2 linked regions of the Bombyx mori genome follow. The protein of the gene in region 1 purifies or fractionates together with the protein of each later gene. This does not show direct contact. Links are inferred from orthologs where the notes say so. Each region holds a gene or a part of one and is shown in the gene's direction. Other genes may lie near its edges.

Region 1 (7,912 bases):
TAAGGCCAGCTCAAAACGCTCAGCTTGCTCCTACGTAATTACGAAAGTAGTTAAGTAGAAACATACTGTAGGTAAACAAGAAAATGGTCAATATTAATCGATCTCTTACTGGTGGTAGGATCACTTGTGAATCCGCGCGGGTAGGTACCACCACCTTGCCTATATCTGCCGTGAAGCAGTAATGCGTTTCGGTTTGAGGGTGGGGCAGCCGTTGTAATTATACTGAGATTTTAAAACTTATATCTCATGGTTGGTGGCACATTTACTTTGTAGATGTCTTTGGGCTCCAGTAACCACTTAACATCAGGTGGGCTGTGAGATCGTCCACCCAGCAAAGCAATAAAAAAAAATCCAATAAAAAAAAACTAAAGCGCTAATATACTTGAAATTTTCAGTTATAACAACATAATTTAAAAATATATTATACTGGTGTTTTAAGATTGAAAACATCAAAAATGAAATGCGATTTTAATTAGACCAGTTCGTAAATAATTTTAGACACTTTTGTCTCGGAAATCGTAAAATAAACGCGTGTTTGGTCTTTTTCAGGGTTTATTTTTATTTTTTTATTCCTTAGATACCCATCTAAGGACGAGCTCACAGCCCACCTGGTGTTAAGTGGTTACTGGAGCCCATAGACATCTACAACGTAAATGCGCCACCCACCTTGAGATATAAGTTCTAAGGTCTCAATATAGTTACAACGGCTGTCCCACCCTCAAACCGAAACGCATTAATGCTTCACGGCAGAAATAGGCAAGGCGGTGGTACCTACCCGTGCGGACCCACAAGAGGTGTGACAAGAGGTCACACGTGTACGTTTTGCAACACAGCAGGTGCTCTATTTACGTTTACGTCTTCTCTGTCATTACCGTAGTTTTTTGGACTTAATATCAGTACAAATGCAAAAAAAATTCATTGATTCTAATTGCGCTCTTCGTGTTTTTGTGAATCAACGTATGATTCACACCGTGACCGGCGTTTTATTTCGGTCTTTCCGATGTCACCTTCTGTTTATACAGACTTTATTTATGCGCGTTTCGTAGGTATTATATGAAATGACACGTTGCTATGATCATACACCTCCAATAAAAATAAGATTTTGCACCGATCGCGTGTTTTTTCATATATTTTTAATGCCGCAAAACTAGGAATTTATTCGTCACAAAAAAAAACTATTTTAACAACTTTATAATTTAATTCCAACCTTTTTATTAATAGTTTTATTGGTCAGGGACAACTATCGATAAGTGTGTTTAGTGCGAGTTTTTTAACTTTTCGATCGCGCAAAAGTTAACTCAAATTTGTATGGAGTTGGAACGTCTTCCCTTCGTTTGCTGCGAGAAGTTAAAAAACTCGCCCTAAACACACTGTACACATTTTCGCAGTGATGATTTAGATCATCGGGGACACAGTAATCGCTCGACTTGGATGCAGTACAGGTCGTTAGGGTTGTCAAGTCCGGTTAAGAGGGTATTACGCAGAAAAATTCTCGATTTATCAATCTCAAAAACCCAGTGTCGCTGAAAAAAAATGTCGTCATAAAAATTATAATTGTAAATAGATTAATGTATATTTTAAGTTAATTTTACCCAAAAAAACTTGCTTGTCAATCCAGTAACTGTGTTTCCAAGATTAAGAGTGCAAGCGCCTTCTAAGAGAAGTTTCGGATGTGCTGCCATCGCTCAATAATAATTATGATAGCAGACGCCGCGCCCGGCGAGCTTGTCGAAACTGTATAAGCATAAGCTTTAAATTAAAATATAACGTCTGATCTCCCGGATCCACTCTCGGCTCTTTTAGGCCCAACAAGCACTGGCTACTGTTCTCGTCATACGAAGAGTTCGAACTAACCCGCAGACATAGTTCAATGAGTTTCTCGGCGGATCTTCTTAGTAAGTCAGTTCAATGAGTTTCTCGGCGGATCTTCTTAGTAGGTCAGTTCAATGAGTTTCTCGGCGGATCTTCTTAGTAGGTCGCGATTCCGATCCAGTGATAGATTCAGCGAAGCACTTCCCTTGTTAGGGTTAGTGTTAGCAAATTCGCCAGGCTGAGTCCCGTGAGCTTACCTACACGTTTGGTGAAGCTAGTATAATTCTTCGAGGCTAGTAGCATATGTAAGAAAAAAAGCCTTTATTCAATATACGATTATCCGGATTAATTTATAAAATTGAATACGAACCTTTTTTTTCATCTTCATTTACGTCTATCGGTTGTAAGGTGGTCGTAAGTCGTACAAAAAGTAACTCATTGTTTGGTTTTACAGGTAAAAAAGTTGTGCTGCTCTCTGCGACGTAACGCGAAAGATGAACGCGTGCTTTTTCATTACAACGGACACGGCGTACCCAAGCCGACGGCGCAGGGAGAGATCTGGGTCTTTAATAGGGTGAGTTTTTAATTGTAATCAATTTAGACAGCGGCTTTAATTTTGTAGGCAGCGGCTTGGCTCTGCCCCTGGCATTGCTGAAATCCATGGGCGACGGTAACCACTCACCTTCAGGTGGGCCGTATGCTCGTCTACCTGCAAGGGCAATAAAAAAAAACTTAGTTTTTAATAATGAAAAAATGGCGATCACAATACGATACACACTTGAAAATTTTTAAGTACGCATTTGAAAAATGCATGGTTTCATTAGATTTGATATACAAAATAAAAGAAACCGCTCAATGTTACTGGTGGTAGAAAGTCTTGTGAGTCCGCACAGGTAGGTACAACCACCCCGCCTGTTTCTGCCATGAAGCAGTAATGCGTTTCGGAGACTTTAGAATTCATATCGCAAGGTGAGTGGTGGCATTTGATGACATTGTAGATATCTATTGGCTCCTGTAACCACTTAACACCAGGTGGGCCGTGAGCTCGTCCACCCATATAAGCAATAAATAAAAAGTTCAGAACTAGGCAAACTTGTGCAGATAACAGATGAGACAGTACACGTAAGTAGAAAGATGCCACTCATCTTGAAGTTTCAGATGAAAATCTCAACGTACCTATTTTAATGCTCACGCCATCCAGCGGAACCAGTTAACTTTAACTAATATTAGTTACTAAATAGTGACGTTGCGCCGACATCTTTAGATGTCACAAATTAATAAAAACCAAACTAAAAAATAAAACTAAGGTATTTGTCCCCAGACTTACACCCAGTACATCCCGCTGTCGATGTACGACCTGCAGACGTGGATGGGCGCGCCCTCGCTCTACGTGTACGACTGCTCCAACGCCGGCATCATTGTCGACAGCTTCAAGTTGTTTGCTGATCAACACGAGAGGGAGTACGAGGTATCTGCTATATGATATTTGTTAAACCAAGGGGGTGAAAGGCTAATTCGTTTGAACGATGTTTATCTTTGTAATTAAAAGTGTGTTTTATTTAGTAATAGCATCAACAGTTCGATGTTTTTAATTGACCTTGAATTAAGTTTAATTAGGATTTTTTTTCCAAATTTTAAACTTTAAGTGACTCTTCTTAAGGTTGCAAAAACTTCGTTTAAATATCTCTATAACCCGTCACCCTTCGATATTCATACTAAGTAAAACTAGAGCATTTGCTACAGAAACAATAATATGGTAATCTGTTTTATCAGTACTATGTAGGGTTCATGTGAACGCTTCATAGGGTGACAACATTGTAGGTGAAAAAGTTGAGATACACAGTTTTAATTCATCATTTGTGGACAGGCTCAGAAGAATGAAGAAGGCACTTCGAGCATCCCTCAGGTCTCGTACAAGAACTGCATCCAGCTGGCCGCCTGCGCCGCCGGACAGAGCCTGCCCATGAACCCGGAGCTGCCCGCGGACCTGTTCACGGCCTGCCTCACCACGCCGGTCAAGACTGCCATGAAGTGGTTCGTGCTGAGGACCCGGACCAGATACGCCGACAGGGACCTGCACGACCTCATCGATAAGTCAGTATCGTCTCTTAATCTCGTGTTGTGGTGGTGCTCGGTGATAACAGTTGCCTGTGGACATTCGCAGTTCCACTGTAGTATTCAAGTCATGTAAAAATCGAACAAGAGATTCATTTTATGGTGTAATTATCACAGTATAATATATTTTTACTATATAAAAATGATGAATAACTTTAAGAAAAATTTGTATTGGCCTAAGGCAAACAGGGTTGATCAATGACATGTTTGCAGGCTACAAGTACACTGGGCGTCTTATCTATTAGGCCATGTACGCTTCTAGCCATGAGTAGTCTTGCGTGAGTAATTGTGTTCGAATAGTTACAGAAGTCTGTGCAGTTGGGTGAAATATCAAGGGTAAAATATCGATTCACTGAATCGAGTCAGAACTACATATCGATTTAAAAATCGATATTTTTTTTGGTTCGAGAAATCGATCCTTCGATTAATCGATCTCGAATCGCCATCCCTACTGTGCAGTCGGTTATTGACAACAGATTTTTATCAGCTTGACCTGTATCGATATGTATGTCGGAGAAACCGCATTATTAACACCATCGTCAGACATCGTAGGGGCGAATAGGGTGATCGAGCTAAAAGAAATATTGAGTACATAAAACACGTTTGTTGTCTTAGAACAATTTAGAAATCTTCTCTTGACGTCAGCAAACGAAAACGAATGCCAGTTCTTAGAATGGAGGCATCGCTCTTCAAGAAGGCTGGTTGGTAGGTGTCAATGATGTCTATACGCGCCTCCATCGCGATCGTGCTGCCATCTCTCGGGAATCGTACTGCGTTTCGTTTAGCTACCAAACTAATGACAGTCTTCGACATGTATGTGAGTCGACTATTATCAAAGCCGGCAATGTGACTTTTGGACAATTATTGGTAAATCAGAAAAACGAATTATTGACTTTGTATTCCATTGGCAGTCACAAAACTCTTCTGAACGACATCTTAGATAAATAACAGGTTAAGTATTAACCTTTATTTAATGCAGGTTTTGAACCGTATTCTTTGAAGGAGACGATTGTATTCAAATCAATCTGTATTGACATATCAATAACATTTTTTTGTCCAAATGCACAGATTGCCACCTTTGATAATAGACGACTCATATATGTGATGAAACCTCAATGCAACGACCCGGCTCCACGACCTCAGATCAGCTTGGATAGTTACGCGCGCACCAAGGGGAGATAACGAGACTACAGTCTTGTTACTTTGATATCGGGATATGCTGACCAGGAGCACTGAACTAAAAAATTATTACTTAAATTTGTATTCAGTTTTTCATATGAAAGCGTGTGTAATTAGTTTTTAAAGTACATTGAATTTGTTGTCCAGGATCCCTGGCCAAGTGACGGACCGCCGCACCATGCTGGGCGAACTGAACTGGATCTTCACGGCCATCACCGACACCATCGCCTGGAGCTCGCTGCCCGCCGACCTCTTCCAGCAGCTGTTCAGGGCCGACTTGCTGACGGCCAGCCTCTGCAGGAACTTCTTACTCGCCGACAGGATTATGAGGTTGGTGCTTTTACAGCTGGTGGGGCCCACCACGATAGCATTGTGATGTCTCGTAACCGATCAGAACTAAGAACTCTGCGAGGCTGTATAAAACTTCTGAACTTTTAATTACAGTAGTAGATTAATATTTTTTTTGTTATTTTATATTGTTATATTATTGAGAATAAAGGACATTTGACATTTTTGGGTATTGTCCTTTGCATGTCATTGACACTTTGTAACAAACAACATTCTTCATTTAACTATTTGTTGCTGCGCCCAAAATGCAATATAGAAAATAATAAATACATATTTTACATTCCTATTAATATAATGTTTTGGAAAATCCACCCTTACTTGCATACTCCTAGATCATACAACTGCACCCCCGTGAGCAGTCCGGCGCTGCCGTCACTGGCCGCGCACCCGCTGTGGGCGGCGTGGGAGCAGACCCTGGACTCGGCGCTGGCCCAGCTGGTCACGTTATCTTCGGCTCCACATCCGCTGGATTACTCCCACTCGCCGTTCTTCAGGGATCAGCTCACCGCCTTCCAAGTCTGGCTAGATCTCGGTAAATGTGAGTGCTTACTAGAAACCGTGGTAACCGGCAGCACTTGGTAGCGCATGGACAGCAGCTCGCGGGGGCGGGCCGGCCTGCGGGGCCTGTAAACAATCCCAAAATAATACCGCAAGCGAGTATAATACGGCTCACTTGATGGTGAGTGGTTACCGGTGCTCATGGTCAGCAATAGCCAGGCCGTTGTCTATGACTGGTATAGTGTAGTTTAGGGGAGGGAGGGAGAGGGAGCGAGAGAGAGAGTGAGGGAGAGTGCGCTGCAGGGTGCGGCGGGCGCGGCGTGCCGGAGCAGCTGCCGATGGTGCTGCAGGTGCTGCTGAGCACGCTGCACCGGGTGCGCGCGCTGCAGCTGCTGTGCCGGTTCCTGGCGCTGGGCGCGTGGGCGGTGCGCGCCATGCTGGCCGTCGGGATATTCCCCTACATGCTCAAGCTGCTGCAGGCCTCCGCGCCGGTGCTGCGCGCCTCCATGGTCTACATCTGGGCCAGGATCATCGCGGTCGATCCGGTTTGTATTACTTATACATTTCGTTCATTTTATATTCCCTCGGCCAAAAAAACAAGTGCTGGCAATTTCAGCGAATCAAATAGTGTAAATGCAAATTAAACGGTATTAATGCTTTTACACATATTTTGAGTGCAGAACGAAACGAAATGGTATTTCTTAATTGTACTTAATTAATCATTAATTGTTTCAGAGCTGTCAAGCGGACCTAGTCAACGCTAAAGGGCACACGTACTTCCTGTCCGTACTGCAAGACCCTACAGTCGACGTAAGTACCCGCAGCAAGGTGCACGCCGCGCGGGGGGGAGGGTACGCAAGACAATGGGATTGAAAAGTACACTATACACTAAATTGATAGACGAGCTTATAGTTCATATGGGATTGATTGTCTATCAGAGCCCGTGGACTACACTTTCCAATTGTTTCAATCTTATAGCCTGCGACACTAGGGCCATGCACGTAGCATTCAATCAGGATCATCTTCCATTGAAATAGTTCCGTTTCTGCAGAGCGAGCACCGCACCCTGGCCGCCTACGTGCTGGCTGGCATCGTGGACGGCTACCCGGCGGGGCAGGAGGCCGCGCTGCAGGTGAGCCCTCGGACCGCATCGCATGTGTTGTGTATCTACGGTCAGCTGCTGCAAGACGTACGTAAGAAATGAAACTAAATGAAAATTTCGATTGGCAGGGCTCAATGATATCGATATGCCTCGAGCAGCTCGGCGACAGGGAGCCGGTACTGGCCCAGTGGATCTGCATCAGCCTGGGCCGGCTGTGGCGCGGGTTCGAGGCGGCGCGATGGACGGGAGTCAGAGATCTCGCGCACGAGAAACTGTTCCCGCTCCTTGAGCATTCTGAGCCTGAGGTACTGATACGTTACCCCCCTCGAGGGGGCCGTCACGGAGCAGCTGTCCATGCTCCTACACTATTGTGTGCCCGGGTAGACGAGCCCACGGCCCACGTGACGAACAAGGTTGACAAGGCTTATAAACATCACATGAATAGTTTCAGTGCTACTGTGACGGGGTCCTAGTATTGCTTGCTTATATTCATATTCGTCGGCCTGTAATGTAAAGCGTACTAACTCGCGACGTGCTTTTGTACGCTTTACAAGTCGTGCTCGTTTGTCAGCAACATTTTCGACTCTGTAAGCGATTTCTCTTTACCTTCTATTAGTTTATTTTTATTTTTTTATTAAGTTTTATTAAGGGGCTTTATTAAGTTTTAAAAGAACTTTATTGGTGGTAATTACTGGTTTTATTTACTGGTGGTAGTAAGTACCACCGCCCTGCCTATTTCTGTTGTGAAGCAGTAATGCGTTTCGGTTTGAAGGGTGGAGCAGCCATTGTAACTATACTTGAAACCTTAGAACTCATATCTCAAGGTGGGTGGCGCATTTACGTTGTAGATGTCTATAG
Region 2 (8,697 bases), on another chromosome or scaffold:
CTGTAAGTACAATGATTGAAATAAAATGTGATTTATTATCTAGCGCGTTACAATAGAGATTCATAATTGAAATTACTTTAGGAATGGGAACAGAAAGCTGCCAAGGCCAAGGAGCAATATGCAAAAGACCTAGAATCTTACAATGCCAATGGCGGTGGTGGCGAAGGGGGCGAAAAGAAGGCTCAAAAACGAGGGAAAAAGGGCAAGAAAACTGCTGCTGCTGTGAGTAAACAAATTCTTCAATATTAAAAGCATTTGTTGAATCTTTAAACAACAATTATTTTATTGCAGAAATCCAAGAAAAAGAAGGAAGAGTCTGAGGAAGAGGAAGGTGAGGAGGAGGAAGAAGAAAGTGAATGATCTCCCAAACCTTAAGACATTACTGTTCATATTGAATAAGGACTTAATTTATTACAAAGTAAAACGGGACTGACTTTCCAAAGTCTGTATGAAATGCATTTGACATTGATTTTGATTAACATTTAATGAGAGTTGGAATCATCTTTAACTGCAACTGGTATTTTGTTTATAAAATGCAATTAAATAATTCATTTCTTGATTCAATATTCCTTTAATTTTCTTGATATTGTAGTGTTAGTTATGATAGATATAAAATAAGATGCAGAGTTTGGAAAGTTTTGCCGCACACTAGGGTCTAGGTTTCTAAGCCTCAAAAAAATAATGTGTAAGTGTTAGCATGTATTTCACCAGGGAATTGTACAGTTAGCCCTCCCTCGTTAAGTTCGCTGTGACTTTGTGGATGCTTATTTTGAGATATACTTTTGACTGGTTTTATCAAAACTTCTATGTCTGCACCAATATCTAATTAAAGCTGTGCTTTTTATGAATTATTTTATATCGATTCAGTTTTATTTTAATGCTGAACTATTGGACATAAGTTTTGGTGTAACTATCAATATGTAAAATTAGAGACTTATTATAATGTCTACTCCTTGGAAGGATATTGCACCCGCTTGTTCAAACCTACCTCTTCATTGTAAATTCATTGCTAATAATGGTACCAAACAATAAGCTTAAGCATTTGTCGAGGTTACCTCGTGGCTTTATTTAGGACTTATGCATATTATAAAACTATACCACATAAGTGTCATTTTAATCTTGAGACTCGCCTTTCAGGTGAATTCTAGCATAGATTTGTGGCATTACCATAAAAATAATCTTAAGAAATTCATGTGTATGTTGTATTTTAGTTAGTTATAGGTAGGTTGTCGATGTGATTTGTCTCTCAAATTTTACATTTGTGTTATATTGTAAATGAGAATTAGCATTCCTCATGTCAATACGGATTTTACATGTTCAATAAAGTAATTTCTTATAATTAGTGTTTTAATTTCAGTTCATACATAGGTTAGTAACTGAGCAACCTGGCTGATTGGATTTGCAGTTTCAGTAATAGGTCATTGGTCATATATAGACACTAATTTTCGTAGCAGGTATAAATATTTTCGACCAAGTTAAAAGAACTGTTATCGTACTTTAGGGATGGAACTGAACATAGACTTTACTAGAAGTCTTGAGGGTATAAAATGTAGGTGGGTACCTACATTAATTACTTAAATCTAGTTCGTGATTGATCCCATCTTAGAATACTCATACTATTGAGAATTAATATTATGACTAGTCAAACTGACCATGTAAGACTGCATCCATTAGATAGGTACCTAGTTCTGTATTTCAATTTGATACCTAATATTTGATCTGATGCAGTACTTGTCTCAAGATTTTGGGTCTGGGCTTGTACCTATATCAGAAACTTGATAGGTATGCAATTCCTTGATTATCAATTTTTAAGGTTGGATTAACATGAAAATAATTTCTTGATATGTTTTAGTTTCATAATCTAGGTACCAAGATGTTGTTTCTTATTAAAATACGAAAGATTAACAAGAAAAAACCTCAAGATGGAAGCATGTATTTTTTATTTTTTTTATATTTTGACTCGCACGGTTTGTGCATTTGCCACTACTAGTGTGGAAAAGGTAGGGAAACCAGTTTTATTTAGGAATCAATTGGAAGGTTCGAAATTTGGAAAGGATATGTACGTAATAGGATAATAATATATAATAATGCCTAAGAGTTCATAATATATAGTGATTGGGTATAAATAAAAAGAATATTATATTTTAAAACTGTTTACATTTTAATATTATTAATAATGTAGGGATTGATGTGGGAAGAGGAACTCGGAGGTTTATCAGGGAATTTATGAATGAGGAACAGTCACGTAGGAGGCATCCAAAGAAAATGTGATTCAAGTCAGGTGAATGAAGTTAGCCCCTCAAAAAATTTTTTTTTCCTATTTTATACTTATTTTCTATTAATTCATTTGTTCATGATTGTTCACTGTTAATAATTGTTTGTTCTGCATTTATTTATTTAAAAAAAAATATTTAAAAATATACCTACCAGTTAGCCCCTCTAATGCAATTTTTTATATTTTTTCATCCTTAATGACTCGTAAATATTCATTTTCGATTGTTCTTATATAAAACACGTTTGTCCTCTTTCGAAATTACTCGTTTTTTGTTTAATTTACTATTTTTATTAGTTGAATAAATGTATGCAAAATATGTGTACTGCGCATGCGTCAACTATAATGCCTAAACTTTCTACGCGGTTTTAATCGTGAAAAAAAAACAAATATAAATCCTGAAGGAGCAATTAATTGGTATACAGTTTAATTAAAAAAATTAAAAAAGAAATAAATGAAATAATGTGTATTGGCGTTAAGTTAGACCAAATACATTTTTTCCATCCTCCTACTTATCGTTATGAAGGTATAAAAAAGATAGGGAGTTCACATAGGTAATATAAACAAATAAGTAAATATGTTCATTATTTATCTTTCAAGAGATAATATAGGTATACATTATAATAACTTTTTTACACAGTCGAAATTATATTCCTAACATTAGTAAAATAACATTTTAATACGATAGGTAAGAGGATGGAAAAAATGTATTTGGTCTAACTTAACGCCAATGCACATTATTTCATTTATTTATTTTTTAATTTTTTTAATTAAACTGTATACCAATTAATTGCTCCTTCAGGATTTATATTTGTTTTTTTTTTACGATTAAAACCGCGTGGAAAGTTTAGGCATTATAGTTGACGCATGCGCAGTACACATATTTTGCATACATTTATTCAACTAATAAAAATAGTAAATTAAACAAAAAACGAGTAATTTCGAAAGAGGACAAACGTGTTTTATATAAGAACAATCGAAAATGAATATTTACGAGTCATTAAGGATGAAAAAATATAAAAAATTGCATTAGAGGGGCTAACTTGTAGGTATATTTTTAAATATTTTTTTTAAATAAATAAATGCAGAACAAACAATTATTAACAGTGAACAATCATGAACAAATGATGAACAAACGAATTAATAGAAAATAAGTATAAAATAGGAAAAAAAAATTTTTTTGAGTGGCTAACTTCATTCAACTTTGAATTACCTGTGCTGTGTTGTTTTGGTTATGTTTTGACTTTATGAGATGCATTAGTTAGAATTTACAGTAATATTAAAAGCGCCCCGATAATTCGGTTCAAGTATAACGTAGATTATATCACATCATACAAGATTTATGTTGCTCGGAAAGTTCGAAATTAAAAATTAAAATCCGAAATTTCAAAATTACCTGGCAGTTGGAAATAAAAAAATGTGCTTTTAAGAAATAAATATGCCAATTGCTTAAACAATAAGTTTCATAAAATGGCTGGTGATACCACTGCTTCTCTTGGAGGATCGCAGGTGGCTTTAGTAACAGGAGGCTACGATCATACTATCAAGCTATGGCAGGCACACAGTGGTGTTTGTTTACGAACAATGCAGCATCCAGATTCGGTACTTCATATTTTAATGTTTCGGTTATTGATCTTCTATAAATGACCAAAATGACTCAATTCATTTCCAGATAACTCATTCAAATCGCTCCGTAAATTTGCATGATTATTTTAAATTTTCATAAAAAATTGATTTGGAAATTTCGCTTTGAATAATAACGAGGGCTGAAAGGCTATTTGAATTAAGCGATATTTCGATTAATACGCGACATTTATCTTTGTAATTAAAGGTCCATTTTATTTGGTATTAACTATCACCAATTCAATGTTTTTGATTGAACATCAATTAAGCTTACTGCATCCAAATAGCTGATGGACTTTTTTTATTATGAGAATTTTAAACTTTAAATGGCTCTCCTGTAAAGTTGCAAAAATGTCCAAAAAAAGAGAATTACCTAAACGATTAAAACTGGTCACGACAGTGTCAGATAATTGTGAGCTAAGATTTAATACAAGCAGACCACTTTGTACAAATATAATTCAGATTAACATGCCAGTCATCTTTTGTGAGGTAACTTAAATTAACTTTCGTGATATTTTTACAAACTGATTATATTATGAAAATCAGCTAAAGCTTATTGCATGACGAGTTTTCCTTTCAGCAAGTGAACAGCTTGGAGATCTCACCAACATCGATGGTAGCAGCAGCTGGATTTCAGCATATACGGTTATATGATCTTAGTAGTGCCAATCCAGACCCGGTCACAACTTTTGAGGACATCTCCAAAAACGTATCTCGAGTTGGGTTTCAGGTATTATGCATAAATTCAATTAAAATTTGTTGAAAACAATATATACATGACCTTCAGGTAGATTATTTGTGACCTAGGTGTCACTGACAGTAAACTACAGGAAGTACGTGTCTTTAATATATGTCTCTAAATATTTGCCAGGAATAGAAAAAAAAATATATTTCTTTTCTCAGTTCAAAACTCATTCAGTTGAAACTGGATCTTCAGTGTCCTTTAAATATTTGAGATCTCACTGGCATAGGAATTACTATAAATCTTTGAGATTATAATTATTTCTAGGGCAACAATTTGAAAAACACACAAATTGTGTCGACATGCAGTTTTTAAACAAAAACTGATGTTAAAATCAGTTATTCATTTTCAAACAACTTTTCAAGATTGTTATCTTTTAGAAAAAAAAAAAACTATGTATATTTATGATTGGATATTTAATTTGTGAACACATCTATTACAATAAGACAAGTCATTAATTTTTTTTTTTTTTAAATTGTAACTTTGCAGAAAAATGGCACTTGGATGTACACAGGAGGTGAGGACTGCACAGCCAGGATATGGGATCCCAGGTTAAAGACGCTATGTATTATATCAACCAGTTATTAGGTAACATCATTTGTGTTTTCTAACCTTGGCCAAATGATGTTTGGAGGTTTCTCTGATGCTAGATGACAATGCAGCACCTTATATCATTCGTTATATTCGTGCTTATTATAAAAGATTCACCAACTGATATTTACTGGTGGTATGAAGATATGATTCCTGCTTTAAAGCTGTCAAGTGTAATGCTAATGGTTATGGAATAAAATCAAAATTTAGATCATAGAAGCTAATAACTATTTACACTAGGAGACCATGAGGTTGTCTGCTGATCTCTGAAATTAAACTTTAACTTTTATTGAGTTTAAAAACACAATTTACTGACTGGACCTAGAAAGCTTAGTATAGAAATTTTAAAGCGGCATGTTTCTCATGTAGGGCTGCACCACGTACAAGGTGTCAAAAGATATTCCAAGTTCAAGCTCCGGTGAATGCAGTAATGCTTCATCCTGATCAGTCCCAGATAATGGTTGGAGACCAGAGTGGCATTATACATATATGGGATCTGAAAACGGATCAAAATGAACAACTGGTAACTTTACTATATATATTTTTTTACATCCACTATCAGCTGAGAAGCTATAATACAGTATGTTGTGGTGAGCTACAAAAGTGAAAGGAACACTCTATCTCCGCATCCTATTCAGTAGTGTTCCTGCATAAAAAGCTGATGCCAACATGATATCACCAATATGCTCATAATGGATATATAGAAAGGCTACTGAGGTATTTACTAGAGAATGGCCAGTAGTATTTTCTGTATATTATAACATATTTCTGCTGTCCTTAATAGGTTGATTGATGGTTGGATGTATTATAAACCCACTTGTGTATGGACCACCATCCTACCTTTTTTTTTCCACGAAACAATCATCAGTTTTGAGCATTTATGTTTTATTGATAAGCTCTAGTAATTGATCAATCATTAGCCAAGTGCCTGTCCAACCACATAATTCAATTTAAATAAACCATGTTTATTTCATTTACATGTTACACATAAATATTATACTATTTATCCTTATTTTTGTTAGATACCAGAAGCGGAGGCGTCGATTCAGGACATAGCTATTGATCCAGCCGGCAAGATGATGGCGGCTGTTAATAACAAGGGCAACTGCTACGTGTGGTCGTTGAGCGGACAACCACCGCACCCTGTGCCCAAAAAACACATTACTGCACATTCTAAATATGCTTTACGGTGTAAATTTAGCCCAGATTCAACGTGAGTTTGGAGATGTTACAGCATTTCAGTTAAAATCAACTTTAAGACATTAGATGTTGCATGTGTTTATTAAATGAGTTTATCTTGGCAATCATCATTATCCTGCCCTTCTCCCAGTCACCCGGGGTCAGCGCAACATGTTTTCTCCTTCCATACTCTTCTATCATAAGTAAAGCAAGGCAAGCAAGAAAGCAAGGCATAAGTAAGGCAATAAGTATAGTAACTTAGAAAATGTTTAATATCTGACTAATGTGATAATAGCATGTTGGTGACGACGTCGGGCGACTGCTCGGCCAAGATCTGGCGCACGAGCGACTGGGCGCTGTTGCGAGAGCTACGGCGCGACACGCAGCGATGGGTCTGGGACGCAGCCTTTACGCTTGATTCTCGATTTTTATTCACTGGTAAGACATTTTCAATTTCCTGGCAACCCAGTCAATTTTTTCAAAGTTTAAAAAAACCAGATAATTTTATTTTGTTATTTACAGGTTCATCGGATAGTTATGCTCGATTATGGAACATTGAGCGTGGCACGCTTGAACGGGAGTACTGCGGTCATCAGAAAGCCATCACAGCACTCGCGTTTAAAGATCAACCTGTTTGAATAGATATGGTTTAAAATAATTTGGGATGATTATAAAGTTTAAATAAATAAATAATAAAGTTGTAAATAATATAATAATTGAATTAATTTTTAATTGAATAAATGATTACATAGCATTAATGGTTTTTTTCTTCATAAAAAGTGTAAATGTATATTTTTATAAAAATAAACACTATTTTTAATTTTATAATTTTTATTACTGGTTATATTATTTGTCAAAAAATAGTGCTTAAACACTAGCAATGCACATGGCCAACAAAGTAGCATGTAGCAGGCAGAAAATAAATAATAGTTTTTGAATTATTATTTGTATTGTTTATTGTATTGTGTTTGTAATTACTTCGAGAAAGCGATGGTAATTGTATGTTAATGAACTAAAGTAAAGCTACTTTTATCGTTTTCATTACATCGCCTTTTTGGGATGGAAGGATAGCTGGTGACTCGAGGTTCGCCCTGAAGGGTTCAGCTAGGTGATTGTTGCATTAACAATAATAATTGGAATGGACGCAAATGACATTCATTCGCAAGTGAGATAAGTGATACAAAAATCGTATTATAAATCTGAAACATTTAAGGTAATTTCACAGAAGTATCTGAGCGTTTAAACAGTATAGATGGATTGTAAAAGTAAATAAAATATGACCAAGTCAACTTCATTTTTAAAGTGTGTATTTCGTTCAACAAATACATATTTCATGGAACATTTACAAGCTCCCATGAAACATCAATATATCTATTTATAGCGTACATAATACTATGGTATATTGTATCAGATCTCCATAAATGCAAAACTAAAACTAATAATATTATAACTAGGTACTTGTACGTCAAATTTAAATACTTTTTTTTAAAACATTAGGATTCAATTATATAAAAGACGTCAATTTTTAGTGTAATAAAACTAAATAACTATTAAATACAAATAAGAATATTCGCATTAGGAATGTTAATAAGTACATTTTTGTTCGCTAATACAGCGACGACTAGATATAATTCTTAATGTACATACTTTAATTCAATATTATTAATTATCATTTTTTTTTAGTACCGATTTATAAAATATAATAATAATAATTGTCAAAGCGCGAAATTTTAAACAAGCGCGGTAGGATAGCGTACGCGCATTAATATCGCTTGACAGTTCAAACTAAGTAAAATTGTTTTGTTCTTTGTAACATTTAATGAATAAACTTAATTATTTAGTAACTATGAGATTTGCTAAAAGGTGTAAAAAGATATTTTATTTGAATAAAAGAATGGTTACTTAGTTCATAGTCAACACTCCGGTTCTATCAATGTATCAATTTGAAGCCGGTTTTAGTGTTCAGTATGCGACCATATATTTTTATAAGAAACATAATCGGATTATTCATTAACCAAATTCTCCGGATCCAACAATTGCACCGATCACCGACTGCATTTTAATGTTTTAAAGAATATGTTAGATTTTCTCTAGAGGCAGTTCTTTGACTTCGCCAATTTCTGAATACACCTCCTCGTCGCACGTGTACGTGATAACGAATTTCAGGCTGATGTTATTCATAGAAGGCGGCCTCGCGAGCAGCATGACCTGCGTCAGGGCTGGCGGCGGCAGGAACGGATTGTACGCCGGCAGTGACGTCCCCGACGGTGTCAGTAGCCGAACTTTACAA

What was found.
Region 2: the proteins of rptor (region 1) and target of rapamycin complex subunit lst8 purify together in Homo sapiens (affinity purification with western blotting; 15 studies listed by BioGRID and IntAct, with this or other methods). This does not show direct contact. The link is inferred for Bombyx mori from reciprocal best matches to the Homo sapiens genes RPTOR and MLST8.

Annotation. Positions count from the first base shown.
Region 1 is NC_085123.1:792,277-800,188, forward strand, and holds part of rptor (regulatory-associated protein of TOR), read left to right. Parts: intron 1-2,266; coding exon 2,267-2,386; intron 2,387-3,133; coding exon 3,134-3,280; intron 3,281-3,679; coding exon 3,680-3,906; intron 3,907-5,253; coding exon 5,254-5,436; intron 5,437-5,786; coding exon 5,787-5,992; intron 5,993-6,255; coding exon 6,256-6,497; intron 6,498-6,687; coding exon 6,688-6,762; intron 6,763-7,003; coding exon 7,004-7,084; intron 7,085-7,182; coding exon 7,183-7,359; intron 7,360-7,912. UniProt on the Homo sapiens protein: Component of the mechanistic target of rapamycin complex 1 (mTORC1), an evolutionarily conserved central nutrient sensor that stimulates anabolic reactions and macromolecule biosynthesis to promote cellular biomass generation and growth.
Region 2 is NC_085114.1:11,952,419-11,961,115, reverse strand, and holds target of rapamycin complex subunit lst8, read left to right. Parts: upstream 1-3,468; 5' UTR 3,469-3,742; coding exon of another isoform or gene 3,743-3,874; 5' UTR 3,875-4,201; coding exon 4,202-4,384; intron 4,385-4,475; coding exon 4,476-4,625; intron 4,626-5,126; coding exon 5,127-5,188; intron 5,189-5,597; coding exon 5,598-5,751; intron 5,752-6,250; coding exon 6,251-6,441; intron 6,442-6,702; coding exon 6,703-7,045; 3' UTR 7,046-7,161; downstream 7,162-8,697. Other genes in the region: mobility group protein 1B, read left to right, coding at 1-2, 82-222, 292-360; ADP-ribosylation factor-binding protein GGA1, read right to left, coding at 8,487-8,697.